3 linked regions of the Arabidopsis thaliana genome follow. The protein of the gene in region 1 interacts with the protein of each later gene in a pairwise test. Each region holds a gene or a part of one and is shown on either strand. Other genes may lie near its edges.

Region 1 (8,624 bases):
AATATAACCTTACCTTGATGGCCGAATATCACCCATAAATTATATAACGGGGTGATTTTAGCTAGCTATAAGGATCCAAATTTGTTACATCCCTTGCCTATAGTCAGGCGTCATGAGCTTAACTTAGCAAAATGTAAAGATTTTTTATTTTGTACGAAATTGATGTAGCAAAATGGGCTTTAATAGATACAATCAGCAGAGGGCTAGATTTATAAACAAAAACTTAAGAGAAATGGTGTTGTGAAAAAAAAAAAAAAAAGAGAAGAGGTGGTGTATGATTTATCTTCAGCATGAAGGTGATTTACAAGCACCGATTATAAATAGGACTCTTTGCCGAAGTTCATGGATGACCTGAAAATTGAGCAAACCAAGAAGGCTTAATACAATAGAACAATCTTTTTGAACCGAATACTTATAGAAAGAGGAAGTCGACGAGAACGAACGGATTTGGAAGAATAGAGCTTAGCCCATGTTTGGATATGGGCACTGCGGGTTTTAAGGTGAGAAGAGTAGGCAGCTTCTGCGTTTATGAAGTAGACTGAGTTCTCTGTTGTCTCAGCAACCCACATTTCGTTTGTCGCATCCTTTGCTCTTTTAATTAGATTGCAAAATCCGACCTGCCAAAAATTAAGCCCACAAAGCATATATTTTTCAAACAATAATTTCTCGGTGCATATTCTCTCAGTGTAAAACTAGACAAATATTAGAATTTGTACATACCACGGATCCAACCAAATTATGGCTGATGTGGGAAACAGAGCTATCATCCATGAATGGGGTGCTGAAGCTTATAGCAAGAAGACTGTTTGAGATTTCCCCTGAATGTTGTGTGGATCCATCTGTCACAAACACCCACTGCTTCTTTTGTAGAACATCTGTGTATGCATCTCCAACATATACAACGTACGCAGCGATATCAAATTCACTGAAGGACATAATTAGAGATGATAGAGTATAGATTAGCAAAGTGCGGTAAATAGTGTTTTATAAAAAGCTTGGACTACTGAGATTAACCTTGACAGAGGAATTTCACCAAGATTTGACAAAGAGATTGGTTTACGAGGGTTGAAAAAAGGCCTGAAAACATCATCAGGGAAATTGAACAAATTAATGAGATAGATTCCAGTGTCTACTAAAGAAAACCACTTACTGAAAATTTTCAGAATCTTTTGGAGACAAAGGCTGCCATCTTGAGCTTGACCCTCTGGCATGTAAGTAAAGTGTTTCTGAATCTGAGTTCATTGGTACTAGCCCTTTCATTATGTATATTTTCCCCTCCGTCAGCTCGGTTCTCTGTCACAGTAGTAGACAATGATAACTGTTTTAAGAATCTACAAGAAAAAAGTTGAACAAGCTAATCGATGATGCTCTTAATGCAACAGTACAGTGATGGTAACGATTTTTTGATATGCATTTCAGTCCATTCGAGGTCCACAGCAACTCTGACGAGCTTATATTTGGAACTCCCCGTTCCATATAAGCTCATATGGATAAGGTTCGTGTAAACTTATAAGCCATTAGAAAAATGCCTTCTTTTAAATTGTGCATGAAACATTCAGATTTAGGCATTTGAATGTACCTGTCTCTCCGTGGGATCCCAGATTGTTACAATGCCTTCTTTTGGATTGTGCTCTCCTTCATTACTTAAGCTCGTCAGGCCAACAAGCCTAATCCTCATGAATGGGGTGACGTTCCTTTCACCTAAACCAGCGTCTTCCAGAGCTTTTGCCACTGATTTTTCCATCTGCATTTGCTTGGCTGCCTGAGGTTCAGATTGAAGCAGTTAATTACTGTAATCAATATATCAAGAAAAGGGAATTACTATTCTACCTCAAATTTTGCTTTATATGTAGTGAAAGATGTCAACTGCTCTAGGCTCATTTCAGCCATAAGAAGTTCAGGTTCAGCAGCCGTCTCTAACAGCTTAAAGACCTTGGCTCCTTCTTCGCTGTCAGTATCGTTTTGGCTGTGAACACCATTAATTCCTCTCTGGTACTCACACATAATACCCTCAACAAGAGCTGAGCGCCTACGGAAAATAGAAAAAGAAAGAAAGAAAAGTACGAATGAGAATAAACCATGAGGAACTGCAATCTTTGGCTCTTCTGTTGGCAAAACCATCCATATTCAGAAGGCCAGAAGCTTTTCTAATAAATACAAAGATTCTTTGTCTGTCCCAAAAACTACTTAGAACCCTAATATTGGTGTATGTAACAAATGTCTCTAGCTTTGATGAGTTAATCTGACACTTCTTAGAAAGTGATGTGCTAAATTGATCACATAAATGTTACTAAAAATTGCTACTCTACAGTTATAAGGAAACTTGCCTCTGATTATGCAGCTGTATAATTCTACTTTCTATTCTCTCTGATCGAACTATTGACTTCTTTTCACCTAACCTGTATACATCAAGAAAATATAATGCTTTGCGAGAAGTATAAGGAAGACCAAAGTGCATTAACAGGCACACATTTATATTGACCTTTCCTTGTATAGGATGGGGTATATTCGTGTGATGCCAGCTAGCGTTTTAGGCACTGGACCCCCATTGCACTTGATACAGTTGAAAGCCAGAGGGACACCAATTTCTTTACCTTGAGGAAGAGATTAAGAACGATCAATAGAAAGATAATAATATGAAAGCAATAAGAACTCAGATGATGTAGTGAGGTCCACAGCATAAAGCTACTTACAGAAGCCTAGTCGGTCCGCCCAGTGAGCTCTGTATGTCCCATTAATATTCAACAACAAACAGATTGTACTTGAAATCACTGCCTGAAAGTTTGGTTGAACGAAACTCTAAGAACAAACCAACCTGAGAAGATATCAGAAAATCTTATAAAATGCAAAGTCTAGGAAACCTCAAGTGGTGATGTTGGGGTAGCCCAGCCAGAAAGTCCTGCCCCGAGGATCTTCAGATAAGAGATAAGAACGTAAGCATGCTGCAAGTCAGTGATCTAACCAAAATCTGTGTTGCAAAACAAAGTATATCTTGCATGAATATAACTTACTCGAAGCTTCTGCCCCACAAACAATTTGCCAGCATTCAGCTGCTTGGTTAGCACGACATCCAGAGCAGCATTCATCGAGTACCTGTGATTTAAAAAAAAATCCTATGGAAATGAGACAAGAAAACAGGTAACAGAACAGCAGTAGCAATTTCATACCACCCATCAGTGAGTTCGACTTTCACATTGCTGCAATTATCAGAACAATGTGCTTCCTGAGAACCATTATCGGTCCTTGGATTAATAGCTGATATGCAGAGGACCATCATTGAAGAAGCTGGAGCATCACCACTCAGAATCCTCTTGATTGCAGAGCAATGACCATGATTGACCTCTCTCTCATATCTATTAAGAAGATTAACCATGTTAGACTTTGCATGAGTTTAAGTAACGAGTTGTGTTGTGAGACTGGGAAACCTGTATTTTAGTTCCTCAAGAACATTGGTGATTGTTAGAAAGTTTCCTCTGCATTTGGCTGGGTAGTATATGTCGTAGCATGCAAGTTTCCAGACTATCCACCTGTAGTGATTAGTAACCCACCTAGTGCATATGTAGTGATAGATAAGTTAATAGATATAGACATCAAACTGTCTATCTAATAGAGTGACAATCACATGCAAGCTTCAAACGAACAGTCACACACTTTTTCTGATATAATAAACATATAACACGGTTAACATTTCAAGGGACAGAGAAAGTACTTTCTGGATGCATGTTGTAAGGAAGCACCCGACTCAGCCAACATTTGAAGAAAAGTTTCAGCTCCAACCTTGTTTGAAGAAGACTCATCACAGAATACATATTTATCTGCATTACTTGATTTGATTCTTCTGACATGGTCTGGCACATAATCCATCTAAAACCACCTCGTAAATGTGTTTGAGTGAATGAAGAAAAAATTTATGTAACGCAGGAACAGGTGAAAGGGACAAAAAGATTTTACCCTGGTCGTAGCTGTCGGATGCATTCCAAAAAACTCCTTGATATATACTCTTGGAGACTTTTCTGGATATCTTGTAGAAAGTACCTTTTTGGAAGTAAGTGTATCACACGATACAACAGACAAACCTGATAATAGACAGGACACCAAAATTATAAATCTGAGAACCAACCAATTAGATTAACAAAAAATTAAAATTAAAATTAATCGTATATATTACCACTTGAAGCTTGCTGAGCATTTTTCTTTAAAGGAGTTTTAAAGGATGAAATCCTTGGCCTTTTGAAAGGAGAAACGGAGACTGTCTTTCCCAGCCTTTTCTTTTGGGTACTGTCTTGTTTATTGTTTGCATAAGCTGTATCTCTGCGATTTGTTATATCAACAAGTGGCTGATCAGCAGGCCTTCCAAGTTGCCTAGCTCTTGGAATGAAACCGTTTCCCTTGGAATTATTCACTGCCATATCTGATGCTAAAGGCCTGTTATTTGATAGTCCATGTGTAGCAGGTTTACTGATATTCAGAGCACAATTGGTCTCATCAACAGCCGTATCAAATTTCTTGATCAAATTACCCCCTGAAGCTAGGTTCTCCAAGTTAACTGATCTAAATTGCTTTGAAGATGAATGAAGAGGAGATACAAAACTATTTGACGTATGTTTGTTGCTTGTCTTTTCTTCATGAGCAATATAACCTGTGTTGACACTTCCATTGTTTATAGCAATATCACTTAGCCTTTCATCTTTCTGTGGTGTAAAAAATTGATCACCTCCAGCTACATCATCAAAGAAAGACCCTAACTCAGGGTCACCAAGAAGGTTTCTGGCACGTTTCAACGCCTCAGCTGACACTGACAATGATTTTCCACCAGCAGTCTGAAACTTTGTTGGAGGCACCTTTAACGATGGATTTAAGATTTCAGATCTCTTCCCAGATACATAATTCTCATATTGTCCTGGAGTTCCTGAATGATGCTTAACCACTGTAGCATCAAACTCCTCATGAGTTTTTAAACCGGACCACCCATGTTGCTGGAGGGAAGAAGACGACTGGTTCACATGGTTAAATCCATTCAAATCATCTTCTTCTAGTCCTAACAATGCCTTGGCTCTTGCTAAACCGGCAGAAGATACATTAACCTTTTTGTTGGAAGCTGTCTGAAAAAGACTGTTGGGAACACCAAACCCACTCTCCCTGGGAAGAACGTTGTCTACACAATCAAAAAGAATCTTATTAACAAATAAACTATGAAAAAATGTCACTTCTAATATTTATTCTCTAAACGAAGTAAGATGTGTGTTGATTAGTTCTTCACTATTCATCGTTTTATCTGATAACAACCAAACTCAAGAAACCTGGAAGTTGAACGGAGTAGCAGCACAAACAACAAGTTCATATGTAAATGCGCACACAGCTGGATATAAGACTTAAAAAAAGAGGAGATAAGAACACACCTGAGTCAATTATCATATCACTTCCTAGAATAGACAAAGGTTTGGCAATTGAAGACTCTTTCAAAGGGACAGTTTTCCCCAAGGCCGTCCTGAACATTGGCATAGTTTCAGCTGTATCCACTTGTCTCGTTTGGGGAATTGAGCAATTTGTGTTCTGCAAATCTAAAAGTGTAGCCAAGAACATGGAACATTCAAAAGATTTTCAGGAACACATATTCACCAACATTAAGTAACAATTCAAGCGAATTCAGAAACAAATGACTAGTCAAGGGAATTCAATACTGTCACATAAAATACCTGAATAAGCAACATTCTCTGCTAAAATGGATTTGGCTTTAGCAATCGAAGACTCTTTAAGAACTACAGACTTCCCCAGCCCAGTCCTGAACATTGGGATTTCCCCAGGCATCGATTCTTCCCGTTCTATAAGCTTCGAGCATCCTTGAAGCATCAAATAATAATTCAATCTCCTTTGAGTCACATGACAAACACGATTCGACAAAGAAAAGGAAGATACGAAGAATCACCTTGGAGCAAGAGATCGGCCATGGAAGGTAGAGGAGCTGTCGATTCGAGCGCCTTGGTTGGCGTAGAATCCGAGACGGACTGAAGAATCCGGCCAGCGACTTCCCACCGGAAACCATCGCCGCTGGAATCGGAAAATAAATGCCACGTCGACATTTATTCAGTTCTAGGGTTTCCAAGTTTTCCGATTCGTCGTTATATGATTCAGCCGGAGAACTAAACCTCGCGATTCAGAATTGCCTACCACGCCAAGAGGGAGGAGTCGGGAGTGCGGAATTTTTATTTTTATTGTTTTATTTTCTTTCCCCAAACCAAAATCATCACCAAAAATCCAAAAAGTTAAAAGTTCTGACAAAGGCGGGAAAGTTGAAAAAGATTTGGGCCGAAATTATGAGACGCGTGGTTTTATTTTAACTTTGGGCTTGGTTTTTACGGACATAGCGTTCCAAGACAAGTGTGATATTGCCACGGCCTTTTATTGCGGTAACTAACGGCACGAATGCTAACCCGAAATCGTTCCAAACAATAATTGCTTACGTGGACATTTTAAAACATCTGTTCAATGTGATTGGTGACTGACTTCAATGAAAATTACATTGCAACAATGGTCAAGTATCACAGAAAATTACATTGCAACAATCTCCACCTTCAAATCTCTAAACACGCCAGATTCTGAGAACTATAATTTACACGGGGGAAGCCGCTGAGGAGGCAGAGGGTGCTACAGAGGGGATCGCGGGAACACCGATGAATGAGAGGAATCCGGAGGCGGCATGATCTTGTTCGTCGAGGAAGAGATCATCGGGAGCTCTAAAGGCGCCATGGACACAGATTGTTGCTATTCCGATCATGAGAGCGGATATCAATACAGATCCGACGCTTGTGAAGAAGATCACTGCGATCGTGGAGAGGATTAGGCCACCGAGAGTTTCGTATTCGGAGAAAGATCGGCCGAAGAGGATAAGAGGACGATCTGATGGACGGAAGAGGTAGAGGAAGAGCCAGGAAGCGGCGAGACATAGGAGGAGGATGAGAGAGAATGGGTGGGCGAGAAGAGAGAAACCAAGGATCAGAGCGACAATGCAAACGTAATTCACCCTGAAATAAGAGGAATTTTTCCGGAATCGCGTCCCGGCCTCGGAGAGAGAGTCAGGCTTTGTGAAAGCGGATCGATCGAGGAGCTCTGACCACGGACGGCTACGAGATAGACCACCACAGACCGTCTCGGTCACACCGTTGACAAATGCACGGACGACTGGAGGTTGCGATTCCACCACAGCGGTTACAATCGGAGGCTGATTGGTGGTGTCTGTTGCGGTGGTGGAAATTGGAAGAACAGGGGGATTTGTTGACACCATTCGATTTTGTTCTTTTGGGATTTTGAGATTGGAAAATTTTAGGAGACGAATGATTTAGAGGTTGCTGAAGTTGCGGTAGTGTTATGTATATATAGGATCACAATTACGCGTCTTTCAACTTTGATTATACACCTTGCTTCATCTGATAGCTAATCTATATTCATTTGCTAAAATAAAAATAAAAATAACCTCCTGATATTATAACTCAGGTTATTTTTTTGCTTAACGTAGTTTATACAATAATTCTTGATTACTTAGGCAAAGTGCATTTGACCATTAATGTTCCAGTCACAGGAAGTTTCCCTAATAGAAAATATTTTTAACACAATGTTGATCTGTCATATGGAGTAGTAGACTTGACAATGTCAAATCCTTTTTTCTTTGATAACATTCATCTTCGAATTCTAAACATAATTATATCTAACGAGTAGACAAAGACTAAATAACCATTGTTTACCCTGATAGTAAGTTGTAGCATCATATATAGCATAAATGTTATTTCTTAATGCAACTCCATCAAACCTTAGATATGTTTACAATACGAAGTAGTTCAAAGTTACTTGATCGATGAGAGTAGATCATACATTTCAAGACAATCACACTAATCACCTACCACGGAATTAAAGAGTCGCCCCGTTCCAACCAAAGAAGGATCCCTGCAAGAAGAACCACACGAGAAAAGAAATGTATAATTGATATATCAGGTGGTTATAGGCATAAACACTCCAGATGATGGATGACCCTCTAAGCCAGTTAGACAACGGATTTAGAGAAGTTGAACGAATCTCCTAAATAACTCAACAGTGTGGGTGTAAAGATTGAATTCGAGTAGTGGAACGGTTTATGCATTTGATTTAATTGTTTATAATGCCTAGTTTATGAGTAAAAGTTATAGGTCCGTCTTATGATGATGAACTTACACACATAAGATGTATTTGTTCCCTATTCATGACCTAGTAGTGCTGGTGTAAAGCGTGTAAACATTGTGCATATTCTTGACTTTGATGGTCCTAGAGAGACAACGAACAATGAAAATGAGACATGGACGCATATCGGGCATATGAAATCATTAACACATTTGCATATGTTATGTCACTACATCAAAAAAGTTATCAGAGAGAGGGAATTGCTTGCCTTGGTGTCATAAAACTTGAGGAAGAATCGAGACTTGGGCACCGATAGCTTAGTCTCAAGAATGGCGGAAACAGCAGCGCTTAGCTTCTTGTTCACATCCGCATTAAGGCCACCGATAGAAACTAATTCACCATAAGCTGCAGGATCCTCGGTCCCGCCAAATGACATAGGCACTGAGCCTTTCAAGACAATCATCACATACTGCAAA
Region 2 (4,266 bases), on another chromosome or scaffold:
GTTCCAGACCAACCTTGTACCTTACCCTCGGATCCACTTCATGCTCTCCTCTTATGCACCTGTGATTTCATCTGCAAAGGCCTACCATGAGCAGTTTTCGGTCCCTGAGATCACGACTTCCGTCTTTGAACCCTCCAATATGATGGCTAAATGTGACCCTAGGCATGGCAAGTACATGGCTTGCTGTTTGATGTATCGTGGTGACGTTGTGCCCAAGGATGTCAATACAGCCGTTGCTGCCATCAAAGCCAAACGAACAATTCAGTTTGTTGACTGGTAAAGAGCTCACACTACTAGTGTTTCTTTCTCTCTTAAGTCTCCTTCTACTACACATTTCAAATCTTTGGTCATGTTAAAATTAGGTGCCCAACTGGATTCAAGTGCGGGATAAACTACCAGCCGCCTTCCGTTGTTCCAGGTGGTGACCTGGCTAAGGTTCAACGAGCGGTTTGCATGATCAGCAATAATACTGCAGTTGCTGAAGTGTTCTCACGTATAGACCATAAGTTTGATCTCATGTACTCCAAAAGAGCCTTTGTCCATTGGTATGTAGGAGAGGGTATGGAAGAAGGAGAGTTCTCTGAGGCTCGTGAGGATCTTGCTGCCCTCGAGAAAGATTATGAGGAAGTTGGTGGAGAAGGAGCGGAGGACGACGACGAAGAAGGCGATGAGTATTAGAAAGACACAAGAGTGTGTGTTCCCTTGTTTCTTTCTTGTGAAGTACAGTAATTATGTCTTTGTGAATGTGATCTCTACAGTTATTTTGTGATGTTTACGGGTCTCTCCCCTTTTATTTCTCATTTGTGTTTACTAAAGGATTGCATTTCTAGTGCATCTCAATACATAGTTTGAAGGATTTTTGGCATTTCAAATACCGTTTACGCTCTAATAAAGATCCTTGTAAGAAAATGTACATAGTAAGTTAGTAACTAATCCATGTCCATACGGAACACACCGCAATGGATGTTGAGAGAAGATGATGATCTTACCAGTTTAAATTTATCATCTTCAAAGATAAGAAATTTCCATCCAGGGAATAGTAAAATGTGCAAAGGAAAAGCAGAACCGATAACATAAACCAAAGGATGCAGTACAAACAAAGTTCCAGATCATAAAAGAAAACCAAGATTTCCTAAATGTGAAGACCTGTCTTTCACAATCTTCGACCTTATTTCTTGTCAGTACCATTCTCAAGCTCCTTCCTTAACTGACGTGAGAAGTCGTCATTGACATCATCATCATCCCAGTCATCTTCCCACTGCTGGCTAACTTCCTTCACTTCTTCTTTCTCCAACCAATCTGCCCAACATAAAAAGATCCATCAGTATTTACTTTGACCGTAAAAGGACAGCAAAAACATCCATTCCACATCCAACTACACAACTCATACAAACAGAAACCCTCTTTATCAATTCTTTCAATAAAACTATTAGTAAAATCACAAAGCAAAATCTGTTAAACCTTTAGGCTACTCAATGCCCTCAAATAATTCCCAAATCCTCAATAACCTTTAGGCTTTAGTAAATGAAGCGTTGACTATTAAGACTAAACCTAATCATCAATAAGTTGCTGAAAAAAACTGCTCTTTTATCCATTTAGTAAGTATGAGACTATAGCTTCATTGTTAGAACTATATGAAAAAAGATCTATCAACCTATCTCACACCTGAAATTGACATCAAACAGATTCGTTTTCATATCAGACCTACTCAACTCATACACTAGTCCATCTTTATCAATCCTTTCAATACAACTACTAGTTAAATCTGAAGAATCAACTAACTTGCAAATCAAAATCTATTAAAATCAGAATCTGATACAATTCATACAAATAATTCTCAATTCAACCATATAAAGCATTGCCTGTATCTATCAATCAGTTGCTAATGAAAATCGCTCTTATATCTATGGCATCGTAGCTTCATCGTTAAGACTATAAAACCGATGATGAATCGATTCAAAAATCGAAGAAGAAACAAGTAATAACAACAAAAATTTTACCTTCGTTAATTTCAAATTCCTCGAACTCATCGTCGTCCTCAAACAGATCCATCTTTACTACTTCAGCAGTCGCTGCCTTCGGTTCTGCCGCCATAGTTACAGATTGTTAAAGGAACCAACCAGATCGAGATAACCTAAGAAGAAGAAGAGGAAGACGAAAACTCGATAAAATTTTCCAAGTTATTATTGCAAAAGCATGGAATTGATAATGATGAAACCCTAACCTCTCTGAGAGCTTTAACGAGAGAGTAAGCGAACTTTTGTTTTTCTTAAGAGAAGAAGCAAATAATAAAGGGAAGGTTTTTTCTTTTTGTATAGAACCGGTTCGACCGTGTTTTCCTTTTTGTGAATTTGTAAAATTTGATGGTTTTCTATTTATTTTTTAATTGCTAAAAGAAATTGTAACATTAATGAATTTGTAAAATAAAACTGTAGTGTAAAACTGTATTAAAATATCGATAGAACAAGTATCTGGATATTCCGATTTATCTAGGATTCAACTTCTAAGAACATGGACAAAAGAATCATTGTAATATATATATCTGTAAGAAAACAATTAGGCTCACAAAACCTCACTAAGTTCAACAAATTCAATCTAACCTCAAAACATCATCCCTGATAACAGAAACCAAACGATCAACACAACCAAAGAATAAGACGAACAAGAAAAAGAAGAGGCTGAGGAAGCCACAATCTGAATAGGGAAATTGCATTGTCCTTGAGATATATTCTGCGTTGTAATGGTGGCCAAACCTTGAAAATAGCAAGCACTCTCATCTTGATTCTTCACTTGAAAGAACATGTTAAACGCATACGACGCGTTTCCATTTGCATCAAGAGTATTGCAAGAAGATCCGTATCCAAGCGCCGTGCAATCAGAGAAAGTGCAGGCGTAATCTATATTAGCCGCGAGTTTTGTCAAGTCCTTGGCTTCTGGATTAAACGTACACCACTTGTTGGGTAGATACGGCACGTTTTGTGCACCAATCAAGAACTTACTCTGTCCTTGACCTGAAAGATCTATAGGAAACTTTGGTTGCCCGTCGAATTTAAATATTCCCCAATGGCGTTCGAACGGTCCCGGTGCTATACTTTTTGCATCCTCGTCGAGTAATCCGAACAAGTATACCTCAATGTAGGTTGGTCTCAATGGAGTTCCTTTGTTTGTTCCAAGCCTCGGTAAAAGCCCGTTGTAGAATCTGTAAGCACTGCCTGTGAAAAAACCGTTTTCAAAATCAAAACTAAAACACTTCATAAAGGATAAAAATCCATCTAAAGAAGGTCAGATATCAACCTGCATTAGCGTGTTTGTCACCCTCTGTTGGCCAACCAACTTCTCCAACGATTATTGGCATATCTCCGTGACCAACAGCTTTCAAAGACGACACCAAAGTATCGAAATTGGCATCGAAAACGTTTGTATAATCAATACCGTTGTCGTTTATCGGTTCAGCACCATCGAAGAAGGCGTAGTTGAGTGGGAAATCATCATTCCCATAGAGACTTAAGAAAGGGTAGATGTTAATTGTGATGGGAGCATTGTTCTTGCCAAGAAAGTCAACAATCTGAGTCATTTGACCGATGATATCGGGACGGAATCTTCCTGCAGATGGAACGGGATTGCTTGCTGGTGAATCGTATACATCCGCGTTTAAAGGGACTGTTGCTTTGACAGAGTTTCCTAGTCCGGCTTCATTTAAAGCGTTTTGAATGTTCGCAAGTGCAGGGAATGTGAGGTTTATGAACGATCCATTGTATGATTTGAGGAATGGCTCATTCCCAACAGCTACAAACCTGAAACACATCCACAAGTGATTAGCTTCACTGAGACATGTAAACACATTTTTCTCTAAACATGTTCTGCATTTTGACAGTACTGTTAAAAGATTTGACTTTTATAGATATAAATACATTTTAGTGGAAACAGGTTCTGCATTTGACAGTAGTGTTAAAAGATATTTGATTTCATAATCAGACAACACAGATTTCACCAGACATTGAAAATCAACCCTAAACATCCAATCTTCAGAAACAAACATATATAGCTAGACACATTTTGTCTATAGACATAACTCACTCATGGTTATGCATTTGGCAATGTCATAAACTAAACAACCATGGGTTTATGAGGTTTCGACAAACAAACACAAAGAATGTTAATTTTGACGTTTAGACAAACACTACAACCAATCAATAACAATAACATTGAGACAGAACAGAGAGGAAGAGAGACAAACTCACGTGATATTGACACCACCATCGAAGT
Region 3 (4,657 bases), about 18 Mb from region 1:
TAGATTATAATTGTGTGTTATATTGCTTGTGAAGTATGATTTGAGTTTTGAAAAGTTGTACTAATAGTTTTGTTTTTGTGTGTGTTTCAGGTCAATCTTTTGAGCCTCTAATGGCAGAGCTAGACCGACTACCAACACGTCGCCCACAAGTGTTTGTCAATTTCTGCAATGACGAGCTTGGCGACAACTTTATTAAACATCTCGTGTGGGCTTTGAGAGACTCAGGGATCAATGTCTTCAAAGACAGCTTCAAGCTTATAGGAAGTGGACAAAAACAAGAAGTGTTCATGAGTATAGAGAACTCGAATATCGCGCTTGCCATCTTCTCAAAGAGGTATTCTGAGTCATATCGGTGTTTGAACGAGCTTGTGAAGATGGAAGAGCTTGCCAAGGAAGGAAAACTCGTGGTCATTCCAGTCTTCTACAGTGTGAAAACAAACGAAGTGAGAAGACTTGAGGGAGAGTTTGGAATACATTTTAGAAACACAAAAGAGAGATTTGCTATGGAACCAATGATGGTTGAAAGTTGGGAAAAATCCTTGAAGTCATCTACTGTTACAGGGAGGATTGGCTTGAGCTTGGAAGCACACATGTAATAGAATATTTAATAGAACTCTTGTTTTGTAGTAAGATCGACTTTGTGGTAAGGTCGTCTAATCAGTTTCTTTCACTCATTTTGCAGGAACGAATTTGCTCTTGTCGGTGCCATTGTTAAAGAGGTTACAAGATTACTACCAAACTCTCCAAAGAAGAAGAAGAAGAAGAAAATTAGGTATTGGAGAAGTTTTCTTGAGGGCTTTGACTGCTACATTTATCTTTGCTGTCTTCATATACCCTATGCCTATGCCTGATGTGAACTTTTTGAAAATTGGTAAGTTGTTATTAGGCTTTCCGTTTTTGGTTGTTGTCTTGCACAAGATTTTATGTTAATATTAGAAACAAAATGATGTTTTCTCGCTTCTGGCTTGTGGACGCTAACACTATATGTAATGTTGTGACGCACATCAGCTATGTCTATTTGAATGTTATCTCTACGGTTATTTTGTGATGTACATAGTAAACCAATCCATGTCCACACCGCACTGTGTTGAGAGAAGATGGTGATTATCAGAATAGAATTACTATCAGCTCAAATTTATCATCTTCAAAGACGAGAAATTTGCATCCAAGGAAGAGTATAATGTGTAAAGGAAAAGGAGAACCGATACATGCTACGATAAACCAAAGGATGCAATTCAAACAAAAAAGCCAAGGTTCCCTAAATGAGAAGACCTGCCTTTCTCGCAATCTTGGACCTCATTTCTTCTCACTAGCATTCTCAAGCTCCTTCTTTAACTGACGCGAGAAGTCGTCACTGACATCATCATCATCCCAGTCATCTTCCCACTGCAGGCTAACTTCCTTCACTTCCTCTTTCTCCAACCAATCTGCCAAACATAACAATAAAAATATCCATCTTTATCAATTCTTTCAATAAAGCTATTTGTTAAATCTCAAGACTGAACTAACATTGCAAAGCAAAATCTGTTAAAATCAGAAACTGATCCTAGCTTAAGTTGAATTGTACAACTCTCCCCCAAGCTACTCAATGCCCCCAAATAATTCCTAAATCCACCATAACCTTTAGGCCCTTTAGCTCATGAAGCCTTGCCGATTAATAATGCAAACATAATCACCAGTAGTTTGCTCATAAAACTGCACTATTATCCATCAAGTTTATGAGACCGTAGCTTCATCATCATAAACATATATCAAACAGATCCGTTTTCGCATCAGAACTACCCAACTTCATACAATAGAGACTATCTTAGTTTGTATAAGACAGTGCAGAATCAAAATTTGTATTTATACCAAAACCTAATCAATCACCAAATCAGTTGCTAATGAAATTTGCTCTTATCTCCATTAATTTTATAACCGATGATGAATCAATTTCGAAAATCAAAGAAGCAATTAGTATAAAACAAAAAAATCACCTTCGTTGATTTCAAATTCCTCGAACTCATCGTCGTCCTCGAATAGATCCACCTTCACCACTTCGACAGCTGCCTTGGGTTCTGCCGCCATAGTTACAGATGTTTAAGCAAATCAACCAGATCGAGAAAAAAACCTAAGAAGAAGATCACCAAACTCGATTAATTCCTCCAAGTTAAACCCAACCAGAGCTCTTTAAACGAACCTTTTTTTCGTTTTGGGTCTAACTTGAAGAAGGGGAAAATTACCAATTTCCAATAACCGACCCGAATCTTATATGATTCATACCGAATCCGACCCGAATCTTATATGATTCATACCGAATCCGACCCAATATTAAAAATATCCGATTGAGGTTTAAAAGAAGCTGTTTTAGACCGGTCCAATAGTCGCATTCGTCTTGACCAAATCCATGACATACAAACCGGTCCAAAAGTTGTCACGCTTTCCCCACAGAACCCAGCTGAGTCAACTCGTTAGTCTGAGTTAACTCGCTAGGCGTGACAGAGCAGTGAAGACAAAGCAAAGTCCTTTTTCGGATTCCTTCTCTTTCACTATAAGATGACATCCCTCATTACCATTTTTCCTTAAAGCTCACTTTTTCTTCTTTAACCTTATCGCCACAAAACAGCGACATTCGACGCCAAATACATAACATCGTCGTCAACAGGTTTTGTCTCTTATCTTCTTCTCTGCATGAATCATGTTCTTGTTAGACATTTTCTGAGTTCTGGGTTTGATTTTGGCCCAATGATCCATAAATGTTGAAAATCATATTTGAAGGCTATGAATTATGAACATTTTATTTTAACCTTTTTCTAGCTCTAATGAGATAATTAAGTAAAACCCTACTCGAAATTTCTGAACTTTTTGATGCTTTGATTCGTTTCCTGTGATCCTTTACCTAGAGAAAATTGAGATTGATTATGTGACAAGTGACCATCTATAAGAAATCTCTCAAAGTTTTCAACTTTACTCACTCTATTGAGGTGAAAAAGAAAAATTGTGCATTCTGAAATTTTTATTCTTTTCGTTTGTCATGTGAATTTTCGTGTTTGATTTTTTATTAGTAGCAAAATGGCTAGGTCTGGGGTTGATGAGACATCAGAATCTGGAGCTTTTGTAAGAACAGCATCAACATTCCGCAACTTTGTTTCACAAGATCCTGATTCTCAGTTTCCAGCTGAATCAGGAAGATACCATCTTTACATATCTTATGCTTGTCCATGGGCTTGTAGATGTCTTTCTTACTTAAAGATCAAAGGACTTGATGAAGCAATCACCTTCTCGGTTAGTACAAATTCATTGCTCATATCGAATTAGAAGACTTTGTTAACCTGAAGCATTTCTGTTTTATTTGATTTGATTAGTCGGTTCATGCCATTTGGGGAAGAACCAAGGAAACTGATGATCATAGAGGATGGGTTTTCCCGGATTCGGATACCGAGCTCCCTGGAGCTGAGCCTGACTATCTTAATGGTGCCAAAAGTGTGAGAGAACTCTACGAGATTGCTAGCCCAAACTATGAAGGGAAGTACACTGTTCCTGTAAGTTTTGATCTCTTTGGTGAACTCTTTAATCTTTCTTTGTCCTGTTTCTTGAATGTTTGTTTTGTTATTATGTTAGGTTCTTTGGGATAAGAAGCTTAAGACTGTTGTTAACAATGAGAGTTCAGAGATAATCCGGATGTTCAACACTGAGTTCAATGGTATTGCGAAAACCCCGTCACTTGACCTTTATCCTTCTCATCTCAGAGACGTAATCAACGAGACTAACGGATGGGTTTTCAACGGAATAAACAACGGTGTTTATAAATGTGGGTTTGCAAGGAAACAAGAACCCTATAATGAGGTATATATCCCTCAATGTCTTAAACATTTGAACAGGGATTCAAAAATTGATCCCTTTTCTCTCCAGGCAGTGAACCAGTTATATGAAGCAGTAGATAGATGTGAGGAAGTACTCGGAAAACAACGATACATCTGCGGAAACACTTTCACTGAAGCAGATATCCGATTATTCGTCACTCTCATAAGATTTGATGAGGTATATGAGTCAACTTGTCTTCTTTGTTTCCAAATAGAAAATCCATCAGGTTCTTGACATCATCTTTTTCTGCGTTCCAGGTTTATGCAGTTCACTTCAAATGCAACAAGAGACTCTTACGGGAGTACCCGAATATCTTCAACTACATAAAAGACATTTACCAAATACACGGCATGAGTAGCACCGTAAACATGGAACACATTAAGCAACATTACTACGGAAGCCACCCTACGATAAACCCATTCGGGATCATCCCTCACGGCCCCAATATCGACTACTCTTCGCCTCATGATCGCGACAGATTCTCCTCGTGAAAGAAACAAACATCAAATGTCAATACTTGTGTGTGTGTGTGAAAACGTTTCAAGTCATGTTATGTTCTACATTTTGAGAAGTGAATGTATGTTTGGAGATTAACCTAGTTTTTGAAACACTTTGACACAGATCATTCTCTTTTATTTAAGCTTGTTGATATGCTTATTGTGTTGAAAGATGATAAAGAGAGAGAGGGAGAGAGAGTGTGAGCATGAAAGCTTTTAAATGACGTTTGAGTATGATCACACCATTTTGCAAATAAGATTAATAAAACCATTTCTTTTTGTATGATCACACCATTAATAAAACCATTTCTTTCTAA

The links. The genes of interacting proteins can lie anywhere in the genome.
Region 2: the proteins of BRCA2B (region 1) and DSS1(I) interact in a two-hybrid assay, tested with the Arabidopsis thaliana proteins (one study listed by BioGRID).
Region 3: the proteins of BRCA2B (region 1) and DSS1(V) interact in a two-hybrid assay, tested with the Arabidopsis thaliana proteins (one study listed by BioGRID).

Annotation. Positions count from the first base shown.
Region 1 is NC_003076.8:234,832-243,455, forward strand, and holds BRCA2B (BRCA2-like B), read right to left. Parts: upstream 6,276-8,624; 5' UTR 6,081-6,275; coding exon 5,927-6,080; intron 5,841-5,926; coding exon 5,697-5,840; intron 5,562-5,696; coding exon 5,400-5,561; intron 5,156-5,399; coding exon 4,169-5,155; intron 4,077-4,168; coding exon 3,952-4,076; intron 3,865-3,951; coding exon 3,710-3,864; intron 3,549-3,709; coding exon 3,426-3,548; intron 3,354-3,425; coding exon 3,168-3,353; intron 3,094-3,167; coding exon 3,012-3,093; intron 2,913-3,011; coding exon 2,862-2,912; intron 2,776-2,861; coding exon 2,694-2,775; intron 2,595-2,693; coding exon 2,483-2,594; intron 2,400-2,482; coding exon 2,328-2,399; intron 2,030-2,327; coding exon 1,831-2,029; intron 1,763-1,830; coding exon 1,580-1,762; intron 1,294-1,579; coding exon 1,151-1,293; intron 1,078-1,150; coding exon 1,015-1,077; intron 926-1,014; coding exon 721-925; intron 618-720; coding exon 444-617; intron 352-443; and 3 more. Other genes in the region: PRA1.B5 (prenylated RAB acceptor 1.B5), read right to left, coding at 6,611-7,282; AT5G01650 (Tautomerase/MIF superfamily protein), read right to left, coding at 8,236-8,292, 8,417-8,617. UniProt on the Arabidopsis thaliana protein: Involved in double-strand break repair and/or homologous recombination by mediating RAD51- and DMC1-facilitated DNA repair. Plays an essential role in both somatic and meiotic homologous recombination.
Region 2 is NC_003070.9:24,051,619-24,055,884, forward strand, and holds DSS1(I) (deletion of SUV3 suppressor 1(I)), read right to left. Parts: upstream 2,291-4,266; 5' UTR 2,225-2,290; exon of another isoform or gene 2,135-2,224; 5' UTR 2,095-2,134; coding exon 2,001-2,094; intron 1,778-2,000; coding exon 1,655-1,777; intron 1,300-1,654; coding exon 1,169-1,299; 3' UTR 744-1,168; downstream 1-743. Other genes in the region: TUA1 (alpha-1 tubulin), read left to right, coding at 1-276, 363-678; AT1G64760 (O-Glycosyl hydrolases family 17 protein), read right to left, coding at 2,602-3,212, 3,295-3,794, 4,242-4,266. UniProt on the Arabidopsis thaliana protein: Subunit of the 26S proteasome which plays a role in ubiquitin-dependent proteolysis.
Region 3 is NC_003076.8:18,166,155-18,170,811, forward strand, and holds DSS1(V) (DSS1 homolog on chromosome V), read right to left. Parts: upstream 2,230-4,657; 5' UTR 2,068-2,229; coding exon 1,977-2,067; intron 1,428-1,976; coding exon 1,297-1,427; 3' UTR 852-1,296; downstream 1-851. Other genes in the region: AT5G45000 (Disease resistance protein (TIR-NBS-LRR class) family), read left to right, coding at 91-592, 683-851; AT5G45020 (Glutathione S-transferase family protein), read left to right, coding at 3,052-3,264, 3,345-3,521, 3,601-3,825, 3,892-4,020, 4,101-4,334. UniProt on the Arabidopsis thaliana protein: Subunit of the 26S proteasome which plays a role in ubiquitin-dependent proteolysis. Also associates with the TREX-2 complex that is required for transcription-coupled mRNA export.